3 linked regions of the Arabidopsis thaliana genome follow. The protein of the gene in region 2 interacts with the protein of the main gene of each other region in a biochemical or structural test. Each region holds a gene or a part of one and is shown on either strand. Other genes may lie near its edges.

Region 1 (4,661 bases), on a different chromosome or scaffold from region 2:
ATCAGCTTCCTTTTGTTTAGTCCGTCCAGACTTAGCCATCTTCTTTGATTCTAACACTCGGGGTAAAACATACAACTGGTAGTCTTCGTGCAACAGAATGTACTGCATAGTTAGATTAATAGAGTCAGCTGATGCAAAACTAATTCCAATACCAAACTCTTTTTCGCAGACCATTTGATATAAACTCACCTCATCCCGGAATAACGTCACGACTAAGTTTTCCTTTAGCACGACCTGAAATACAACAGGACAGTATTAGAGACAGCACGAATTACACGCAATCTTGATTTGTTTTGAGCATCAAAAACCTAACTCCATTACTAATCTTAAGTTAAACAAACACTGAAAATGAAAGCACTTAACATTTTACAAACAAAGGCAGAGAGAGGCAGAAAATTTCTGATTTGTGAAACAAATTTATAGAACCTATTATTGACCAGATAAGATAGTTTTCAAGATAGAATCCTTGGAGGAAAAACTTCTTTATCAAGATCACAATCGAGAACAAAATGAAAAACAGATTCATACCAGGGCGATATCAATGCTAGTAACACGAAGAAGCTCGTCGGGGCAAACGAGATATCCAAGAAGCACCCACTCTCGGTACGAAGTAACATTTGCAAGATCTTGCGCTCTCTGTAGGAACCAAGAGTGTATTATCTAATATTAGCACTATACATCGAAGTAGAGTTGTAAGGGAAAGACAATAGCATCCTACTAATTCTGAGAATCCTAAGCTTTTATGTTGATAATAATCTAGCCGTTCGTACCATGGGATGAGCAGAATTTGTAAGTATATCTGGGAATCTAGGATGATATGGGCTTAAAAATCCCTCATTTCTCAACTTCCTCGTATCTGCAGATAGAAAAATACTGGGTCCTACAGCCTCCAGGACCTAGGAAAATAGTAACGTTGTTAGTACTGCTGTATCAGTTGCAATATTAGCTCGTAGGATACCCGTGATTTGAATAAAATATTAACCTCTCCAATCCTTGGGCTGACAAAATTCAAATCTTCTTGTAAGCCTTTCAATGGGGGATCATAAGAGTCTATGAATTGCACCAAGCTGGATGCAAGACGAGGAGTGTTAATATATGATATCAGAGTCTATTGATTATATACAAATTAAAAATGATACTACAAGGAAAAAAACATCCATACCGGTGATAAAAGTCACAGTCTCGATCATTTCTTGATAGCGCATGCAGAAGGTTGTAGACTTGCAACAACATTTTCCTAGGAATCTACTTTGATAAAATAAACACTCTTACATATTGATAATAATGTAATGTCTCACATGACATGTGTAATCAATCCAAATAAACAAAGAACTAAGAAAAGGAACAAGCTCAGCATACCTTCTCTGCGAAGAGATTGACTCGGACAAATGCACAAAAGAGATCCATGAATGCATGCAGAATAAGTGAGTTCTGATGAGGCTGCAAAAAGCTGAACTAAGTTATGAGCTAATCATGAATACTCAACAATTTTATCTTCATCCTCACAGACATTTTTGACAAGTAAATAATAACTTAATGTACCAAAACATTTCATGACCTCCACCTAAGGTACGAGTTCAAAAGAAAGCTCAAAGTTTCAACCCAGAGCAAGTAAATACTTTCCGCAGATGAGAGACTTTGACTCACCAGCAAGGTAATTACAGTGCTGCTTAGGTCCAATATAAGCCGCAGTGCCTGTTCTCGAAATGCCATCAAGTCGAGCAGCAGCTGATTCAAGAAAAGAAAAATGCATGACGAGAGGACTATGAAGGCACCCCTTACTGAAATGCTACACACGAACTAAGGAAAGAAGGCTAGCAAATAACTACTCGTTTACATTTTAAAAGTTAAAACCATGTATTAGGTAAATCATATATGCATGCCCAGATATATAAAGCTGACTAATGGTGAGATGGAATAGAAGATTGAATATTGACTATATAGCAGACTGAAGATTGAAGATTGACTAGGTACACAAAGAAAACTAATAGAAAGATTGACTATATAGCATGTAGGACTTCCGAGATGCTTCACCATTCTCGAACAACAAGTTTCACAACAACAGAACGTAAACCCAACAACATATTACATAGATAGTTTCTTATTACCTGTATCCATGGCTCTAAGCTCTGTAAGTGAAGTTCAGCACCATCATGCAAGCTATCCAGTGAAAACTTATCAATCTGCATAAGTATTGCAGAATAAATCTTTTTTCATTTACCATCAGATCAACAAATCAAACAGTAAGTCTAATAAAAAAAGAACTCATGACTTACACGTTCAAGTTGCAATTTGCTGAAATGCTCAGGGAACTTTTTAGAGAGCAAAGTGCATATCCGTGGATGGTTAGGGAAGACACCCGCTTTCCAAAATGCTTCAGAGAATACATGGCCAACAGGATCAGGATACTCCAAGATTTGATTCAGTCTATACATTTTAGCCATGAGACCGTCAGCAACCTCAATCATTTGAACTACCCATTGTATGTTCAAAGCCTTTGTGGAACCACCAACATGTCCATCAATTTGCTTAGAGCTCCTAGTAGAAGACACTGATGCAGCCATTTCAGGTCCCAAGTACTCAGTCCATCTGGAAGGACCTTCCCATTCCCTTGATCTCACAGAAGTCGGGGACATTGATTCATCTTGAGATGGATAATATTGACGAGAATTCGCCATTAATTCAGTACAATAATCTCTACAATAAAGGAAAATGTATTTCAAAATCACGTTACACAATCTCGTCCAACATAATTTACTTAGCTCTCTACTCTTGCATTCATCTTCCAAAAACCCAGTAATACTCAACAACGAGTGACGAGTGAGAATAGATATCCCCTCGTCAATTTCCCAGCAACCAAACAAGGAGCTAAAACCAAGTCAAGCAAGAGTCTCGTGAAGATTGAAAGTTACCTGAGAAGCTTTAAAGGCGAAAGTCAAATCGAGCAAAAATGTCTCAGTAAGATCGGAGCTTCGTCTGAGAGTTCAGATCTGAATTTCTGCAACCTACTCCGGAGACGATGATGACGACGACAAAGAGGAGAGAGAGCGTCGGGCTTAATCGGAGTGTGTGAGCCGAGAAATAAAGAGTTGCTAAATTCGGGTCTCTCTCATTTAAGACAAAATTAGTCAGTAGAATTTCTTTCGTTTTCAACTAAAATGCAGATTTTTTTATTTTTTTTTACTCTTTTCTTGCTCAAGCACATTTTTTACTTTTTACCTGTAAATCTAAACATTTCCATAGGAAACGAAACAATGTAAGTAGAAGAAAATTATGAACAATTGAACAGCTGAAAGTGTTTATCCCTTTCAAAAAATAAATTGTTTATAAAATTTTAATAAAATATGAGATTTTTAGTTATATTGAATCGGAATTGTCTACTTGAATTTGAGCAGTGCAAGACAACATTTTTTCACTAGAAAAAATGATATTTCAAATCATGTGTTGTTTTGGTTTGATTGTAGTTATTTGGATTACAAGTTTTTTTTAGCAAAACTATAGGATTAGCTCCAACTATTGAGATTTTAGCATAACAAACCAATGTTCTTTTATCATATGTACATTAACAGAAGGTAAATTCAAATCTACGACATCTATTTCAATAATGAGGATAGCTAAAATAGAAAAAAGTATTTGGTATATTATGTAGTAAGTACTATTTTTAGTATTTAAAAGGAAAATTTCTGTTAGAAAAAGAACAAACGTTCTAGTTGGGTGGTTGAAATGTAAGTTTTCGAAGCTTTGACAAAATGAGAACAAGTCCCTTAACCGGTAATTTTTAATATTTAAAAACAATTAACCAAGAGAACAATATTGACGTCGACAAATACTAACTTGTAGTATATAATTATCATTATCTCTACATATGGAGTAGCTTTTAGGTGTAATAATTGTCAATTATTTTAGAATTACTGTGTTAAACTTTAGTATGATTCGACTAATAAATAATGTTTCTGACGTTTCTGATGATGAATTTGCCCCTCCCTCACTTTTTGTTGCGTGTCCAAAGCTCAGTGCTATCCAAGCATTTCATCTTTTCAACATAATTATTTGATTTGAGAATTTAATCATAATGTTGATATTACTTTTTTACTAATAGAAAACAATCAAACAATCAAATTAATAAGTAAATTAGTGGAAACCATGACACACAAAAACAACTTCATATAATAAAGTAGGGTTGACAACGCAGGAATATTGTATTACAAGGCACATCTTGTAACTTTGTTGGACAACTGTGGCTAAACAAGCTTGGCCTTCACAATAAGCAACAATGATTCCAAAATCTTTTCCCTCTGTGCACATATCATTGCATCACAGATTTTGTTTCCTTTCACATTATCTTTTGAGGTCCCTATGAACCAGAAAATAACAAAAAAACGGTTTTCACACGGTTGCTACAATATGACCGAACCTATATTCTTTATTCGCATGAATCTTCCATTAGCTTCTTCTTTGTACTCGGCTATTATCTTGGATTCCAATTTCTTCATCTCAGGACTGGGCAGTTATTTTACTGAACTCCAAATTAATTCAAGAGTCTACAAGTGTAGTTGCTGCCGTGCCTAGACCTACGGAGGTAAGGTCCATCTGAAGAGAAGCATTTTTCTTGTCAACATGTTATCTTATATAGTATGAACATTACCAATCCGGTGTACAAT
Region 2 (4,654 bases):
AAAATTGGAGCTCCAGGGATAGAGATAGCTTGAGCACCTGATTCATGGATGAAGCAAATCGGATTGTGAAATCGTCATGCTCAGCACGGAGAGCTCCAATGTGATTGACTATCAAATAGTGCCTCTGATATGTAAAATATGTTAAGGCTTGCAATTTTCAAAGCATGTGTACGGTTAACAATAATCCAGATAATAGTTAAAATAGGCAAGTAACAGTGAAAATATTAAAGGATATTCTAGCGCTTCACGTGGAGGGAGCTCATGAGGTGCTGGAAGAGTCAGAAGGCGAGTCTGTGATGAAAACTTTTGAAAGTATACCGACAATTCTTTCAAAATTGCAGCAGGAGAAAGATGGAGATCTGGAAACGCAGGAATGACAGGATCATTCTGATAGCCGAAAAACACACAACAAATATGACAATTAGCGACTTGGAAACAAGGCTTTGCGGTATATTGGTTGTGAATGCGAAAACAGGTATAACATGAATCTCAATACCTTGAAAATGTTTATCAATCTGTTGAGTTTTACCCTCTTGTATAAAGCCTCGGTATCTTTCTCAGATGGTGTTGCTAAGACAACAAGAACAGGTAGAACCCGGAGAAGAATATACCGCTCAGGAAAAAGTAGTGCAAAATCCAACTCCAGAGACTCCACGATGAAGACTATGAGAACTTGGAGAATATCTTCCACACTGAATTTACTAAGGAATCCAAAAGCTTGCAATATAGTCAAATGGCACAAGGGACTTGAGCAGCATGCATATCTCAGATAGACAAACCCATAATAATGTCTTTAACAGCCACACGATGGTGATAAATGTCTGGAAGAAAGGATACTTGTTTACACGGAACATCTCAACGTGCAGGTTGAGTAAAATAGCCCATCTTGTGCTCAGGAAGATCTGCATACATAAGAACTCACATTTTCATTTACGACAAACCACAGGGGAAGGCATTATCAAATGATTGCATAAACAAGCCATGCAAACACCTGCAAGTCGTCTAACTCTTCTCTCATTGTATCTGTATCTTGCCACTGCGCACTGACTTGAGTGAATGTTCTGAAAAGAGTGAAACTATCTTAAGAACATAAACTAAAAAAAAAAGCTTCTAGGAAACTAATTCAACTCTTAAATAGAGCTTTAGTAGCTGAAAGGATTAGTAACAAACATCGATCTACCTACATTCAAGTGTCCTATTTGCAGAAAATATAGATAGGAAAGATAAAAGTATTATATCTTTCACCTCTTATACCAAGAGAAATCATTAGGAATGCTAGCTTTAGCATTTTTAAGATGATCCAGCTGAACCAAGACGTCAAGCAACTTTAGCATTGACCTATATTAAGTAAAATCACAGTTAAACTATATACACGAGGAAAGTTAATCATCCAAGGATCTAATACAAAACACAAAATAAGAGTTATAACCCACCAAAGATGTGTGACTGTGGGACCATTGATCCGCCGTTCAGGTCTGGAAAACCGCTGCATGTCAGCAGCTAACTGCACAGACAGAGAATATACGCACATTATTTCTGATACAGGAATTTATATAAAACGAGTTGGACGAGGAAGGATATACACCGCACTTTAGCTGAAGCCGACGATTGCCATCTTTGAATTTCGCGTAAACGGCTCATTTCTAAGTCCAAAACTTGATATGTTTCTAGATACAAATCCGCTTGACTATGCTTCATAGATTCGGGAAGCTGCATGTATATCATTAATAAAGAAAGTTATGTGTGTTATGGAAGAAATATACACAACAACACCCAGCAAGAAGTACTGTATTTGATATTATTTTCAGTAATTTCTATCATTCGCTATTATTTATACAGAGAACTTTGTTGTTGCTTTTATTTTTGCATTATAACTGCATTATACTTTGTAGTTCAAAAAAGAGTCTCGTACAGTTGCTACGAGATTTCGAATACCATGAAGAACTAACGCATAGCATAATTCTCAAAGCTACATTTTATCAGATAAAATGTCTAAAGGTAGATATGCAATGGAGACAAGGAGTGTAGTGATAGATTTCACAAGGACCTGAGGCAGTGCTTTGACACAACTTCTATATGTGTATAGAATTGACGCCATCTCTTTTCCTTCTTGTATAAGTGTATTCTGCATATATACAATTGGTTGAAAACTTACTTGAAGTATTCAAATATAACACGATTAACACAACATAACCGTAAAAATATCAAATCGTAATTTAATCAGTCTTTCTAAGATGAGGCAAATGAAGAAGAATAGCCATATACCAGCTGGTTAAGAGCTTTTGTGTCTTCTGATAGAGACAACCGGTATGCAGCGACGTCACTATATTCTACAGAATAGTAATAAAAAAAAAAACATCTTGATTATTTGGATTTTATGGTAAAAGAGTGACAAGAGAACAATGAAGCATACCGATGGGACTATCGGTTGCTGCTCTTTCAGCTGAAACCATCACAGCCGGTCCTTGGACTTCTGGTTGCTCATCCTATAACCAAAATTCAAAATGCTTCAAGAAAATGTACTAGAGTGACTTCAAATTTTTCAAGAAGCTACTTAAATCTTCAACATTTCGTTGAAACTTATTTTACTGCTAACTTAGGCAAAGATCCACAGGTGATTAAACAATATATGTGATAATTTTACACGAAAAGGATTTAACAAGAAATAGAAACAATAATTTCATATCCTTTCTAGAAGAAAATTTTGAAATATGAACTCCGGAAAGAAAATTTGTAGTCAAAAGGATCCAAAGACCCACAATTTCTAAATTTTACCAAAATCTAGAATATCGAAGTTACCTCTAAGGAGAATGTGGAAAGAGCTGCGATTGCTTCCTCTACAGGAACCGCCATTGAGTCACCTGGAAAGATCAGACGAAGCAATTAGCAACATTGGGCGACTAAAGGATAAAGCTTTCAACTTTAAGGCTCTTACCCAACAACAATGGAGAGGAGAGGAGAGCTGCTACTACTTCAAGTCAATTGATTCGCCTTTCTTCTGATTCTTTACGGACAGAGATCGATAAATTCGCTACTACTCTGTCCGAACCAAATATTTCGCAAAGTTGGAAGCTTTCTTTTTCTATTTGTTTTTCTGTAACAAAAAAAAAATGTTTCTTTTTGGGTCCTCGTTTGTATTTTCACCTTTCAGAATTTTTCTTTAGTACATATTTGTTCAATCCGATTAAAGCTTTGAGAAGAAGCATTACATTTGTGTCTTTACTATGAAGCAAACTTGATGACAGCTAAATCATTATTTACTGATTCCTTTATCCTCAACCATTTCTTATTTTGGGAAAATACATAAGAGTAATACCAGTAACAAAACAAAATAGATATAAATACAATTTTACAGTGAACAACTACTGAACATAAAATAAGTTACTTTGTAGAATCAGTAACAACTTTTAAGGTTTAACCGGAGCCTTAAACCAATCCGGATAAGAACCAGCAGGTGTTGGTGCTATCGGTGTGAGCATGTAAACCGTTCACGGTTAAGTGTTAGTAGCCTAATGGAAAGGACATGCCGTCTAAGTCTAACCAGAAATTTTTGTTGTAAAAACATATGAATTGAGAATGAAACTCTAGAAAAAGCGAAAACTGTCTTGGATTCAAAATAAAGTACTTTCTTTAGCTACAAAAATAGGGAATACAATAAAATGGAGACGAAGATGATTAGAAGAAGAAGAAGAAGAAGAAAGAGTAAATTATTCATCCAATTGTTTCAAAAGCCTGAAGAGACCAGCTGCTTCTCGAACCCGAGAAAACTCAATGCAGAAAGCTTGAACTTCTATGAATAGATCCTTCACTGTTACATTTTTTACCCAAAAAAAACATATATCACCCACAATTGTACATCATACTAATAGACTATAAAAGCTTCCTCTGTGAATGTATCTAGTGATCTTTCTGTGTTATTAGCAAAGCAAAACGCCTAATTTGATAGCAATCAGTCAGAAACAGAGAATGCATACCGTTGATGATCTTGTTACGAATTAAGCTTTGCAAGAAGACGCAAACAAGCCGTACAAGCCTATTCTGCATGTATTTGTCTTGCTGCTACAGATCGAAAACAATATATCACTATACCGTTAACAAAACAACTACATTGAAATCAACAAATCCGAGAATCATATACACAAAGCACATAATGCAAAGCACAAGCAGAAGTTTTTTCACACAAGATTATAGGATGGCGTTATGGATACTCATAGAAAGCTTTGTTTTAAGTACCTAACGGGAAATCAAAAGGACGCTTTGTTTTAATACCTTAGCGTTCTCACAAGACGATATGCAATTAGTGATGTACATCCGTATGAAGTCCTTGGGAAGTTCAACTGCAGTTGTGAGCCTATTCACAACTTCCATTGAGTGCAGGCTCATGTCCATATTTCCTAGAGCTTCATAATAGCTGAAGAAGCATTCTTAGATTCCCACTTTAAAAGTTATAATTTTGGTCGAAAGTAAATGGTGGAACCAATAAGGTGATGACTTACTCATTAATCTCTGTGGAGTTATTCAACTTGGTGAGAATTTCAACTGCTATCTGAGGATTGTGCTCTACTAATTGCTGAGAATAAGAAACTAGATCACATGAAAAAAAGAAAAAAGAAAAAAACCACCTGCCAGAAAATGAATCACATACCGGCAGCTT
Region 3 (4,699 bases), on a different chromosome or scaffold from region 2:
AATATTAGTTCACTAAACGTCATGACACATATCTAATCATTTCAATTAGTTTAGGAATCGAATAATACGTGGGTCTAAATCAAGGGGCAGATAACGCAAAGAAAGAGATTGATCAACAAACATATATGTTTGGTAAAGAGAAGCCAAGCTTATTCACCATAAATTTTATTTAATCAATGATTTATTTTTCCTTTTTTTTGTCTTTTCCGGTGAGAGTTAAAATCAATCATTCTATTATCTCCAAGGGGAAAACGTCTAGTCAATAAGCAAAATGAATATCAAATAAATTTGATTAAAAATGTAAAATCAAAAGTTTTGAGGTTCTGAAATCATTGAAGATTATAGTCTAAAGATCAGGTTAGGTCTATGTGGAATTGATATGTATGGAAGACACTCTGGCTCATTCAGAAGGTTTCAAATAAGCTGGTTTAGATACTATTGTCCAAGAAAGACAAGTGCTCTCTCATTCTCATTGGTTCGCGCGTGTAAGCTCTCATTGTCTTTAGGTTTGGAACATAATCCTTAAGACAATTGGTGTGAATCTAGGAAACAGAGAAATCAAGGATTCGTGGTATATTTACAGATCAAAATGCAAACAAGAATACAAATACTTGTTACTAGTTCTTCAACTTTTGTCATTTTCAGACTACAAACAACAGATTTTTGATTCCTTGGGTAAACAAGTTATGAAAAAGGAGAAAACAAATACTTATAGCTCTAATTCTCCTGTTGATTCCTTTCTTCTTGTTGAATCAGAGTATAGAACAACCTTTCTGAGATTTTCTCTTCTTCTTCTTCTTGTTTTTTGGTGGCTGGAGAACGACCTTGATAGCCGCATCAAACACTGCTTTCACATTCTGTTGAACAGATAACAGATATAGGAATCATCAGCAGATTCAATTGGCGGTTTTAGACAGGTAAAGATTAGATAAAGATATTGACTCTCAGGTTAATACCTGTTGAGTTTTTGCACTGCATTCGATATAAGCAGGCGCCCCAATCAGCTTCTTTAGTTCTTCACCCTGTTTTGATACCATCAAAATATGAAACATGCAGAATATTAACACCTAGGATTCAGTTTAGAAAGATAATGAGAAAGGTACCTGAGCGGTAGAGATAGGCACAGCACCAGGGTGCTCGGCAAAGAATTGCTTATCATCTCGAAGATCTGTACGAGACTCAGTCATCAAAATATCAGAAGAGTTCCCCAAAACAGAAAACCCCCGATAATCAGGCGATTAAGAGTTGAGCTAAGAAAAAACCAACCAAGCTTTGTTCCAACGAGGATGATGGGAACACCAGGAGCATAATGTCTCAGTTCAGGAACCCACTAAGAATCAAAAGCAAGATACCAAATGTATTCTATCAGAATCACTGAATGTAAACTGAATAAAACAGGAAAGAAGTTTCAGGAGAAGACCACAGATCAAACCTTTTTAGAAACATTTTCATAGCTAGCTTTGCTGACAAGTGAGAATGCAAGTAAGAAGACATCTGCACCGCGATAGCTCAAAGGTCTTAGTCTATTGTAGTCCTCTTGCCCTGTTTCACCAAGTCAAAAACACAAATGACTCTCTGGAAGAGGAGGAAATTCAAAAGACAAAAAAATCCAAGGTAACAACTTGCCTGCAGTATCCCACAATCCCAAGTTGATAGTGTTGCCATCAACAATCACATTGGCACTGAAATTATCGAACACAGTTGGCACATAATCCTGTCACATAGAAAATTCCACTAAAACATCAGCTACAAAATCTCCTTACAGAAAGTTACCTAACACTCTTTCTAAGATCATTAAACAGATCAACAACATTGCTACGGTACATGAATCTCTGAGTCTCTCAAATCCTAAAGATCACATCAGTACATTCACTAAGGTAGCAGAAAGAAGAAGACTTTAAGAAAACCTAACAAATACTTGTGACTAAATCCAACTCATAAGCTTCAACAACAAAACCAACTTCACCAAGCTAAAATTTCACGAAATCAAAGTAAAAGAAGAGAACTTTAAAGCTAACCGTGGGGAAAGTGTTGCTAGTGTAGGAGATGAGAAGACAAGTCTTTCCAACAGCACCGTCGCCGACAGTGACACACTTGATAAACCTTGAAGCACTCATCTTTCTCTCCTTCTTCAAACTTCAAAAACCCTAATTTGTTCACGAATTGGGGATTTTTGACTAAAGAGAGAGAGAGTGAGGTTCTTTAAAGAGAAAGAAGACAAAGAAATAGCTGCTGAAAGTCTCTCCCAGACTAGAGTCTTCCTAATTTTTACTACTCATCCTCACATGCACCTCAATTTCTTGGTCTTCTTCTTCCTTTTTTTTCTTCTTTTTACTAAAATTTTATAAAATAGCATTTCTTCTTAGATAGTGCGTTTCCCAACATAAGACCCTACAAAAATTTATGGGATGAAAATTATAATAATAATTTCTATGTACTTTTTTTTTTTTTTTTTTTTAAACTTCGTTTTCATCTAATACTATGCAGCCCATATACTAAATGCCTAAATCTATACATATTTAGATTGATCTTTAAATATCAATAAAAAATTTAGCTAAATTTTGACTGGTTTAGAGGATTTTTCCGATGTGTCATTAGGATTATACAACTATGGTTTAAATATCAATAAAAAATATAGCTGGTTTTACAATGCAATATGATTGGAGTGTTAATTTTTATTGATCAGCCTCCTTTGGATACATATTCTTCTGTTACATGTTAAATGATAATATTTTTGTCCCGGTATGTTGAAGTAAACATTAAAAATGTACATACAACTTCTCTAAGAAATAAATGTTGAGACACTAAAAAAAACGTGAACTTAAGGTCAATATTTAATATTTTTATAACCAATCACGGTATAAAGGCTTACCTTTTGAATCTGTCTAGCTAGTTATTGACCGTTAATTTTAAAAACACTTATTGACCGTTAAAGAATCTGTTATGGGGACCCAAAAAAAACGAATGGTAATTTCACTAATTTGTTATGTTATGTCCAACATAATAGGCGAAGAATAGGGTGAAACCAACATTTAAAAATAGCAAAAACAAATTAAAAAAAAAAAATCGAAAAGGAAAAATGAAGAGAGTTTCAAAGTTACAACGGTGGATTCTATTTCAGACGCGTAAATTTCTCCGGAAACCTGAAAACCTGAGTGCGAAACATTCTCTTATATCATCCTCTTTTCTGAAAGCTTGTTATTTGAGCTCTCCTTGTTTTTTATTCCTCCGACAAGGACGAGGTTCCAAGAGAACTTAGCTTCTTGTTCTACGTACGACACCAAAAATTAATTCAAAAAAGAAAAAGAAGAGAGTTCAATGAGAAAACATTCTCTTGATCGATGGCTTTTAACAGCTGTTCTTGTCGTTCTCCTCTCGTCTTCTTCCTCCTTCGCGGCCAAGAAGGACGCCAAGAAGAAGAAGAAGAGTAATAAGGAGGTGACATATGATGGAACCTCTTTGATCATCGATGGCAAAAGAGAGCTTCTTTATTCTGGCTCTATTCATTACCCGAGAAGCACTCCGGAAGTATTTATTGAATCACATAATCTCTGTTTTTCTAAAACGTTTTTTTTTTTTTTTTGTATATTGAGATTATTGTGTCATTTGGGTTTGGTTTAGATGTGGCCAAGTATCATCAAGAGAGCCAAGCAAGGCGGTTTGAACACGATTCAGACATACGTTTTCTGGAATGTACATGAGCCTCAACAAGGAAAGGTAATTCATAACCAAAAACTGATCTATATATAGAACATATAAAACACGCATGCATGAATCTTTAGGATTCATAATGTATTTTGTGTTGCGTTCATCAGTTCAACTTTTCGGGACGAGCTGATTTGGTGAAGTTCATAAAGTTGATTCAAAAGAATGGAATGTATGTGACCTTAAGGCTTGGACCGTTCATCCAAGCTGAATGGACTCATGGGTAATAATGCATTGCTTCTTCTTCTTTTTCGGCGTTCTCAAGATCTTCATTTTAACATTTTATATGATCTCTTTGTGATGATCAGAGGACTTCCTTATTGGCTTAGAGAAGTTCCTGGAATTTTCTTCCGTACAGACAATAAACAATTCAAGGTATTATACATAGAATTACTATATATATGTCAATGTGTGTTTTGTTACAATTAGATATATTACAAGATATGACCATAAAAATATTGCAGGAGCATACAGAAAGGTATGTACGGATGATACTCGACAAAATGAAGGAGGAAAGATTGTTTGCGTCACAAGGAGGCCCCATTATATTAGGACAGGTGACAACAAAGAAAAGAGAAACCTATATATTTATATATGATTTGAAAAATGTTATAAAATGATGAGTTTTGGAATGAATATGAATTGCAGATAGAAAACGAATATAGCGCGGTTCAACGTGCATATAAACAAGACGGGTTAAACTACATTAAATGGGCATCTAATTTGGTGGACTCAATGAAACTCGGGATCCCATGGGTTATGTGCAAGCAGAACGACGCTCCTGATCCTATGGTAAAGTTCATTTTTACATGATTGTGTTTTATCCGAATGAGGAAGAAAGTTTTAAAATATTTGAAAACACTGTGGAAACAGATCAATGCTTGTAATGGAAGACATTGCGGTGATACTTTCCCCGGTCCAAACAGAGAAAACAAACCATCTTTATGGACTGAGAATTGGACTACTCAGTGAGTTTGTTTTTCTTACTCTTGAA

Evidence for each region. The genes of interacting proteins can lie anywhere in the genome.
Region 1: the proteins of PIR121 (region 2) and GRL form a complex in vitro, tested with the Arabidopsis thaliana proteins (2 studies listed by BioGRID).
Region 3: the proteins of PIR121 (region 2) and RAC3 form a complex in vitro, tested with the Arabidopsis thaliana proteins (one study listed by BioGRID).

The regions. Positions count from the first base shown.
Region 1 is NC_003071.7:14,800,848-14,805,508, forward strand, and holds the start of GRL (transcription activator), read right to left. Parts: upstream 3,004-4,661; 5' UTR 2,913-3,003; intron 2,698-2,912; 5' UTR 2,679-2,697; coding exon 2,277-2,678; intron 2,184-2,276; coding exon 2,109-2,183; intron 1,729-2,108; coding exon 1,648-1,728; intron 1,441-1,647; coding exon 1,360-1,440; intron 1,246-1,359; coding exon 1,163-1,245; intron 1,068-1,162; coding exon 983-1,067; intron 897-982; coding exon 771-896; intron 637-770; coding exon 529-636; intron 235-528; coding exon 1-234. UniProt on the Arabidopsis thaliana protein: Involved in regulation of actin and microtubule organization. Part of a WAVE complex that activates the Arp2/3 complex.
Region 2 is NC_003076.8:6,101,931-6,106,584, forward strand, and holds the start of PIR121 (transcription activator), read right to left. Parts: upstream 3,051-4,654; 5' UTR 2,936-3,050; intron 2,862-2,935; 5' UTR 2,854-2,861; coding exon 2,800-2,853; intron 2,487-2,799; coding exon 2,414-2,486; intron 2,331-2,413; coding exon 2,266-2,330; intron 2,126-2,265; coding exon 2,048-2,125; intron 1,711-2,047; coding exon 1,591-1,710; intron 1,505-1,590; coding exon 1,434-1,504; intron 1,339-1,433; coding exon 1,246-1,338; intron 1,062-1,245; coding exon 992-1,061; intron 903-991; coding exon 838-902; intron 693-837; coding exon 497-692; intron 388-496; coding exon 236-387; intron 132-235; coding exon 38-131; intron 1-37. Other genes in the region: AT5G18420 (CCR4-NOT transcription complex subunit), read right to left, coding at 3,708-3,808, 3,975-4,059, 4,270-4,411, 4,497-4,570, 4,646-4,654. UniProt on the Arabidopsis thaliana protein: Involved in regulation of actin and microtubule organization. Part of a WAVE complex that activates the ARP2/3 complex. Interacts with the active form of RHO-family GTPases.
Region 3 is NC_003075.7:16,670,594-16,675,292, reverse strand, and holds RAC3 (RAC-like 3), read right to left. Parts: upstream 3,102-4,699; 5' UTR 3,050-3,101; exon of another isoform or gene 2,873-3,049; intron 2,510-2,872; exon of another isoform or gene 2,462-2,509; 5' UTR 2,439-2,461; intron 2,375-2,438; exon of another isoform or gene 2,328-2,374; 5' UTR 2,118-2,327; coding exon 2,019-2,117; intron 1,715-2,018; coding exon 1,627-1,714; intron 1,543-1,626; coding exon 1,433-1,542; intron 1,331-1,432; coding exon 1,267-1,330; coding exon of another isoform or gene 1,187-1,266; exon of another isoform or gene 1,169-1,186; coding exon 1,104-1,168; intron 1,023-1,103; coding exon 957-1,022; intron 858-956; coding exon 753-857; 3' UTR 504-752; downstream 1-503. Other genes in the region: BGAL11 (beta-galactosidase 11), read left to right, coding at 3,319-3,528, 3,622-3,717, 3,816-3,928, 4,014-4,080, 4,170-4,262, 4,354-4,497, 4,579-4,673. UniProt on the Arabidopsis thaliana protein: Inactive GDP-bound Rho GTPases reside in the cytosol, are found in a complex with Rho GDP-dissociation inhibitors (Rho GDIs), and are released from the GDI protein in order to translocate to membranes upon activation.